2 linked regions of the Rattus norvegicus genome follow. The protein of the gene in region 1 purifies or fractionates together with the protein of each later gene. This does not show direct contact. Links are inferred from orthologs where the notes say so. Each region holds a gene or a part of one and is shown on either strand. Other genes may lie near its edges. The genes, in order: Mapk4 and Fastkd5.

Region 1 (4,593 bases):
GTGACCGAGAGCATCGGTGAAGTGGAACTACTTGATAAGGATGATTTGGGTCCCAGTAGGGGCACAGTGGGACTGTGTGAGTCTTCGCTGTGCTTCAGAACTCTGGGAAAGGTAAAGCCGATGCGTTGTTTATTTCTGGTTTCTTCCAGTTTCTATCTGCAGACTGCGGTTGACTGTGAGTATTTACTGGGGAAAGGAGCACCGCCGTATACTTGGCAGACGGTTCGGAGAGATTCTGATCAATGGCTCAGAAGCCTCTCATCTTGGTGTAGGCGCATTTCAATAGTAGTGTGTTCTAACCAGAAAGCCTTCCTAAGACGTCGAACAGAAACAAAAATGTAAAACTCTGGATCTATATCTGTTGAGTAACAGATGGAGCTGGGGCTTCATAATCTTGTCACATGTATGACAGAGCAGTCGGCTTCAGGTACCTGAGGGGTGTGGCTCAGGTGGCTACGTGGGACAGGTTTGTTCTCTGCGATTTCATGATGTTGAGACCTTCTATGACAATAAGGACCAGCCCTGATCAAAGGTGTGGAGTTGACACCAAGATTGTAGAGCTCTCCAAGATGGACGCCAGACCTCAGTAGCTAATTCTGATCACACACAGGTAGATTCTCTCCTTGCAGAACCCCCTCCCTACCTGGAACCCCACATTCACATCTCCAAACACTGTCTTCATGGTGCAGGGAGAAGCCAGCAAGGCTCTCATGACTCCAACACGGTAAAAAGATGACAGTTAATGTGACAATGCCCGACGGATCTATGTTCCAATAAAACTTTATTTGGCTCATCCTGATCAAGTTTAATAATATTTAACAGATTCTTTTAAGAACATGACTAATTATCACAATTCTCCGTGAGCTAGCGGTCAGTCAGCAGCATGTCCCTTTACTCAAAAAGTAAAGCTTCCCCCCGACGACAAATGGCACATAAGGGGTGGTGTGCATTGCATTTTTTTCTTAAAGAAAAAAAAAAGGAATAAAACCTAAACCCTTTATATTTACATACTTTCCACTTAAAAACCCGGTCAGCATGATTGTTTTAAAATATATGTTTCTGATGCACTGTACGTTTCAATGTACAAACCACAGTCAGCGAGATTTAAGGTGCTGCGTCGTGAGAATGAACACAGCCCAAGGAGATCTCTCAACAGAGCAGCTGGACCTCTCGTGGGTATCTTTGGGATGTCGGCAGGGGGAGGGGAGGATAGATACCAGTGGCGGAGTGTTCAGGAACAGACCAGGGACTGTTGGTATTCCCCTCAACCCCCTGCCCCATGCTTTTCCTGCAGAGGCTTGGAACTGATTCCAAGTTTCTCTTAACCTGAGCCACCAGGATGCGATTACTTTGAATCCCTTTCTTTGCCTCGGGTTCTCCACCTTGATAGCTGGCTCTTGAGGACACCCGAGGTTAGGACCTTTCTTTAAACTCCTGGTTTATCTTTCTGGGTCTCTTGCCCGAAGGTTGCTATCTCTCAGGCCATCCCTTTAGGGTCTACTCCTGGCTAGGACTAAAATGATCCTGGGCGACATTAATGAAGGATGATGGGTGTTCTGCGGAGTCTTCCCTCCTAACTCATTTGTTTTTATGGAAAGCACCTTATTGCTTCTCCTACAAATGAGCCATTTGTGCCAAGAACATTTGGTCCTGAAATCGTCTTGGAGAGGAGCTGTGTGTGTGTGGGTGGGGTGGGTGGGATGCTGGGGATTAGACAAGAGGGATTCTCGCAATTTCCGTCTTTAAACTCATCCCTGTAGGATCTCCACTGGAGAACAATGGCTGTGTTGAGTCAGGAAAGTGCATAGGGCGTGCAGGAGGAGGCTGTAGGCACAGGCCTGGGAGATGACTAAGTTTAAGCAGCCCCCAAACTGTTCTGCTAGGAAGGAGTAACTTCAGACTGAGCTGGGTTGGGTTAATACAGGGAGGTGGCAGGTGAGGACATTTAAGCACTTGGGGAGTCGTAGAAATATGTCTGGCGACTAGGAAAAAGAAACCGGTTCTGTTTCCGGTTTCGGAAAACAGGAGCCACAGGTCTAAATTAAAGGGAAGGATGGGACAGACAGTAAGGGAAAGCGAGAAGCACTCGGGACCGTTTTCTGACCAAAAAGTCAGAGTGGCCCCAGCAGAGGAAGACATTATACTGTGGTCAGACACTGGTCCAGGGATAGGAGCTTGGGACACAGGCTTTATCCTGACACCACCAGGCTTGTGGTCCTAATGGCTTCACTGGGCCCAAATGTCAATTTGGGACTAGGTGGGTCACACGGCTTGGAAACTATGTCTGTAAGCTGTTTCTGACTCCTCGTAGGGCTGTAGACTTCGGTCTGAAATCCCTTTCTTCCCTTGTACACTCAACAGGCCTTTCCCTTTGATGGGAAACTGATAGCTCCCAGCCAGGGTCTGCTCAAACCCGCTCCCAGAGGTTAAAGGCTAGTTATTAAGGCAGTTTAAGAAATGGACATTCCTCTTGCTCCCCGGACCCGCGTGTGTTCTGCTAACCCCAATGCAGCAGAGAGGGGCTGAAGGAGTACTAGGAAAGCAAGGAAGCGGTCCAGCTTTCTGGGTGGGGTCTTGCTCCGGGAGTTCTCACGCACCCCTTCTGTGCTCACCACCTTTCTTTGGAGAAGGCCTCTGTTTGCACGAGGTCGCCGGGGTGCTCGGAGATGCACGCACCATTCAGGTCGCCCAGTTTGTTTTCCGGTAGGTCCTCAGGTTTGGTGCAGAGCTTTAGGGCACGCGAGATGAACACATCTAAGTCGAATTGGGGACTGGCACCCCCATCAATGGGTGTTGGGTGTCCCGGGGGTGAAGCAGAGAGACGGGGCTCTGGGGCATCAGGGGGAGGACTGGCACGCTCAGGGCCACCTTGTGTGCTCTTGACCCACTGCGCGATCTCCAGAAAGAGGCTTGCTGGCTCATCCTCACGTGACACTGGGTCTGCTGCTACTGCAGCCCTGGGGGGTGCGCTGGCCGCCTGCTTCCAGTGCGACAGGTCCAGGATGAGCTTGGGTTCCGAGTAGTGGTGGGGCTTGTTGTCGCGCCACAGCAGCTTGTCCAGGTAGGACGGAGACCCCACTTTGTAGTCGCAGGACCGTCCATAGTCGGCCTCAAAGGCGCGCTCCATGGACGAGTGCGACTGCTCCAGGAAGCGCTCGGAGCTGCTCTGTGAGTCCTTGCGTGGGTCCACCTGAACATCCTCCGCCAGCGGAGTAGAGCCAGCACGTGGGTCGCGCTGCACCTCGCTCGCGTCCTGACAGCGGTCAGGCCGCCATTCCAGATCTGACGACAGGCTCACGGGATACCTGCAAGCGTGCAAAAGAAGGCACGATGTGAAGCACACCCAGGATGAATGGAGAGCCAAATCGCCTAATACCCGTAGTCTGCTTACAAGTCCACTCATTATTCCTCCTAGTCCCTAAAGGGCAGGTACTATCATCCCTCAAGGTTGGAGTGTGATGGCGCAGGTGAAAGAGAGCTTCAGGGGCCCAGCTAGGGGGGCTGATCTGTGAGTTTAGTCTTTAGTAGTCAATCAACAGCTTTCTTGGACACTCACTGCGTGCAGGCTTTACATGATGGATTTGTGAACAAAGCAACAAAACAGTCTTCCTTATGGAACTTTCTAATTGGTTCACCTATGTAACCCATATAACAACATGGGGTCGTGTTAAACTGGGGATCTGGACCCTGCAGCTCTGCACTGGGACCTGGGAGGCTCCCCGATGCTCCTGCTGATCCTCGGACTGCACTTTGAGTGGCAAGGCCAGTGCTTCCTAATCCTGCCCCAGATTTGAATCACACAGGAGGATTAAAATTAAGTACCAGGTATCCCTTGCTGCCCACTACCAATGTTCTGGTTCAGTAGGTCTAGGTGGCCCTGTTTGGGCATGTTTATGAGATTCTCCTAGGGATTCTACGCAGCCCAGGCTGATAACCTCTGCCGTGATGGATCTGGATAGGTGCCTTGTAGCCCCTAGCCTCCAAGTAGAGCAGATGGGGCCTGCAGAAAGATCACAGACACCATCGAGGGAGACCAAAGAGCCTTGGAATTCTGCCCTCTACTGACTGCCCCGTAGCCAAGGAGACTGAAATCAGATAGCTAAGAGCAAACGGAGGGCAGATGGGCAGGCAGGTGGCTGGCTATCAGCTCTGGCTGAACCCCTTTCTTATGCCAAGTATTGCGGTTGGGAGCACAGACAAGGTGGCAGCTCCTGGCCAGCTGCTCCCTGAGCCAGAGGGCTGGTGCTCACATAGGACAATCAGACCAGCCAAGGCCAGGCAGGTGCAGCCCATAGGCTATGGGGGTACTCTGGCTGGAGAGGTAGGGGAAGGACTTGTGCTACCCACCTCCCAGGGAACACCATTAATGTGGGCATTGCCCTCAGAGTTCAATACCACCCTTTGCCTGAATGCCCTTGAAGTTGCAGGGGTTTCTAGGAAGAAGAGCTGGGAAGGACCAGCATCTGTCTGGTACACTCCAAGTGCTGGCCATATATGATCTACTATCTTGAGATAGTAGTACTCTATCTGAGAGGACTTAGTTTGACCACCACAGTCCTAAAGATGAGAAGATTAGCATGCCACAACAGTGAG
Region 2 (3,814 bases), on another chromosome or scaffold:
TTCTGTAGAGGCCAGCTAATGCTACACAGTGAGACCCTGTTTCAAAGAAAAAAAAAATGGACCTAAGAGAATAGAATGAGCAAATGCCTGTTATGAGCTAGAGAGACAGCTCAGTGGTTAAGAGCACTAGCTGCCTTTCCGGGGGACCTGGGTTCAATTCTTACTGCCCACTGGTTTATAACTGTAGTTCCATTGGATCTGTTGCCCTTTTCTGGTGTGCAAAACACTCATACACATTAGATAAACAAACAAACTTAAATAAACTCATATATACACAAATATATAAATAAATAGAAAAAAAGCCTTAAAATATATATTTCTTGCGCTTTCAGAGAACCTGAACTTAGTTTCTAGCACCCAAGTCCTGTGGCTTGCAACTGCTTGTAACTCCAGCTCAGGGGGTCCAACCCCCTCTTCTGACCTCCTCAGACACCAATCACACAAGTGGTAGACACATACATGCAGACAGAACATCTATACACATCAAATAAAAATAAACAAAATTGGGGCTGGAGAGATGGCTCAGTGATTAAGAGCCTGGGCTGCTCTTCCAGAGGTCCTGAGTTCAATTCCCAGCACCCACATCATGGTGGCTGACAACCATTTGTAATGGGATCTGATGCCCTCTTCTGGTGTGACAGAGACAGTGTACTCGCATACATGAAATAAGTAAATCTTAAAAAAAAAAATAAACAAAATTGAAAAAGCAAATCCTACTTTTTCCTTTATACTGTTAGCGTGGCAACTTTTATTAATTGCTTGTATTCTCCAGGTACTATTATGTGTTGATTGTAAAGAAATGAGTTGCCCACTTTTTACCCTCAGCTTTCTTTTGGAAATCTGTCCTTCCCTCCAAGGAAGTGAATTTATATCAAACAGCAGTCTAGAAATCACCTAATCGTGTCTTGGGTGTTTGCAATGCATGCAGAGTTTCTCCTTCACACTTAATGGCTTGTGCTCTGGGCTTTCACTAACACTGAACATACATGCATGGATAGTAGTATAGTTTGCATCTTTCTCTTTTTTTTCTTATGTCTTTTGAGACAGGGCTTCACAAGATAGTCTTGGCATAGATCCTGTTGCCTCAACCTCATAAGTACTGGATTTAAAGGGTGTGTGCCACCACACCTGGCTGTACCTAATTCTTATAATGTGTACATTTTGTGTTATAGGTAGAAGCCACTCATTTTTCATCTACCCTTTTTTCAGTATCTGGCACCAATACTGGCCCATCATTTGTGGCCCATGGCTCTTGTGGTATGCCGAAGAGTTACAGGCAGTTTCTGTGGAACATCTCTAATGAAGCACCATATAAACAAGAACGTGTGACTTTTCTCTGACTGCCAAAAAGATCAGCACAGACTCCAGAATGTCAGCCACTCTCAAGCTATTAAAACTTTTAAAATACAAAGCATCTTGTAATCCTTCTGCTTACCATGCAGCCCAAAGCATGGCATATTGGCCTATGGAAAACATCGCACAGCATGGGGGACAGAATCTCCCTAAACATAATAGCTCCTGCCATCTTGCCAGAAAAGTTAAGAACATTGGTGATACCACCCTGTCTCAGAGAGCCTTCACAACCAGCAGTGCCCACCTGGGTTTGGAATTCAACAAAGCTTCTGCGCTCAAGGCCAGTGCATTGCATCCAGACTCACCCAGTGCCAGAAGAGGCGAAGAGGATGTAGAGGTCTTTGATTCCTTCGAAGGAACCCGAGTTTTCTTAAAGCTAAGGCCAGAGTACCAGCTTCACAGCTATAACAGAAGTGAGACTCGCCAACCCTTATCTGCCTCAGAAGGTGAACTAATTTTGCACAAAGTCACATTTTATGAAGATAAACTCCAGCCAGAAGTCATAACTAATTATTTTTGTAAGCTCAGCTCTTTGCCAGCAGAACAGAGTTCCGTTTTGCTGTGCAGTAACAGCTTTGCTTTGCTCTGTCATCAGAGTGTGAGAAACATACAGCTCTTTAACACCTCAGACCTGGTCAGTATTCTGAAAGCCTTTGTCGACCTAAGAATCCCCTTCTCCGCCTCGATGCTAGATGTGTATGAAACCAGGTTTTGCCATCAGGTATGGGGGATGAACCTGGATCAGCTTCTCCTCGTGGCTGATCTTTGGCGGAACTTAGGCCGCAGAGTGCCTCGATTTTTAAAAATTTTTTTTAGCTACCTTAATTTGCACTGGAGAGAGCTATCTTTGTCTCAGCTAATTCACTTAATTTATATTATAGGTGAAAATCGTCAAGTACCACAGGACCTGATGCAAAAACTAGAATCACTGATCCTTAAGTATATAGATTCAGTCAATTTAGAGGAAGTTGGTACCATCTGTTTGGGTTTTTTTAAATCAAGTACTAGCCTCTCTGAATTTGTCATGCGGAAAATTGGAGATCTAGCTTGTGCTAATATGCAGGATGTGCGTAGCCACACCTTAGTTCATATTCTTAAAATGTTCCGCTTCACTCACGTAGATCATGTAAATTTCATGAGGCAGTTTGGAGAAATTGCTCCTCAGAGAATTCCTTCCTTGGGGGTTCAGGGTGTTATGCACCTTACCCTTGCCTGCTCAGCCTTACGTATCCTGGATGAAAGAGTAATGAATGCAGTAGCTGCCTCTTTGCCTCCAAGGGTAGCACACTGTCGAAGTAAAGATGTTGCCAAAATTCTGTGGTCGTTTGGAACTCTGAATTATAAGCCACCGAACACAGAAGAATTTTATTCCAGTCTGATAAATGAAATCCACAGAAAGATGCCTGAATTCAACCAGTACCCAGAGCACCTTCTCACCTGCCTGATTGGCTTGGCATTTTCTGAGTACTTTCCAGCTGAATTCATAAATGTTGCTCTGAGCCCAGGGTTTGTCAAGTTAGCTCAAATGAGAAGTAAGTTTGAACTCACTAAGGAACTGTTTACTCTTGATGGTACAGTTGCCATTGAATGTCCAGATTACAAGGGCAACCGCCTTAATTCTCACCTTCAGCAAGAAGCATCTGCAAATCTGTGGAGTTTAGCAAACAAGGACATGAGATCAAAGCCTGAATTCCTAGAAACTCTCTACTTACTTGAGACCATGTTGGGTGGCCCACAGTACATCAAGCACCATATGATTTTACCTCATACTCGATCTTCTGACTTAGAGGTTCAGCTTGATGCTAACATGAAGCCATTACCATTTAATAGTGAAGCAACACCAACTGAAGATGTAGCCCAATTACGACTTAAGCAAGTGGGAGTCAGCCTTACAGATGATTTGATGAATCAGTTGCTAAAGGGAAAAGCCAAGAGGTATTTCCAGGGGGAAACTGAGTTAGAGACTGGCCAGCTATCCATCGAGTTAAGAAAGAAGACAACTGTACCCTTGGTGGACTCTGATTGCAATGGAGCAGATAGATTGGGGGATACGGGAATAGCTGGCTTGTGCCCTCTCACCCACATGCAGACCCCACTAGTAAAGCTAGCTATCCAGTTTACAAACAAGAACCAATACTGCTATGGTTCCAGGGATCTTCTTGGATTGCACAATATGAAGAGAAGGCAGCTGGTTCAAATTGGGTACCGTGTGGTAGAATTACCCCACTGGGAATGGCTTCCATTACTGAAAAGAACTCGCTTAGAGAAGCTAGCATACCTCCATGAGAAAGTGTTCACCTCTGCTCTCTGAAGGGCACTCATGGGCATTTATGCTCATAAAAGGAACAGGTGCATACCCTATATCTGTAGGTTAAGGATCCTTAACCAGAAAATCAAAGTCAAATGTCCTAAAATCTGGAACTGAGTACTGATCTCAGATCAGGGACATTCAAGTGGTAGT

What was found.
Region 2: the proteins of Mapk4 (region 1) and Fastkd5 purify together in Homo sapiens (affinity purification with mass spectrometry; 3 studies listed by BioGRID and IntAct, with this or other methods). This does not show direct contact. The link is inferred for Rattus norvegicus from reciprocal best matches to the Homo sapiens genes MAPK4 and FASTKD5.

What each region holds. Positions count from the first base shown.
Region 1 is NC_086036.1:69,787,296-69,791,888, forward strand, and holds the end of Mapk4 (mitogen-activated protein kinase 4), read right to left. Parts: intron 3,306-4,593; coding exon 2,609-3,305; 3' UTR 765-2,608; downstream 1-764. UniProt on the Homo sapiens protein: Atypical MAPK protein. Phosphorylates microtubule-associated protein 2 (MAP2) and MAPKAPK5.
Region 2 is NC_086021.1:138,283,576-138,287,389, reverse strand, and holds part of Fastkd5 (FAST kinase domain-containing protein 5, mitochondrial), read left to right. Parts: intron 1-1,172; exon of another isoform or gene 1,173-1,209; 5' UTR 1,210-1,369; coding exon 1,370-3,664; 3' UTR 3,665-3,814. UniProt on the Homo sapiens protein: Plays an important role in the processing of non-canonical mitochondrial mRNA precursors.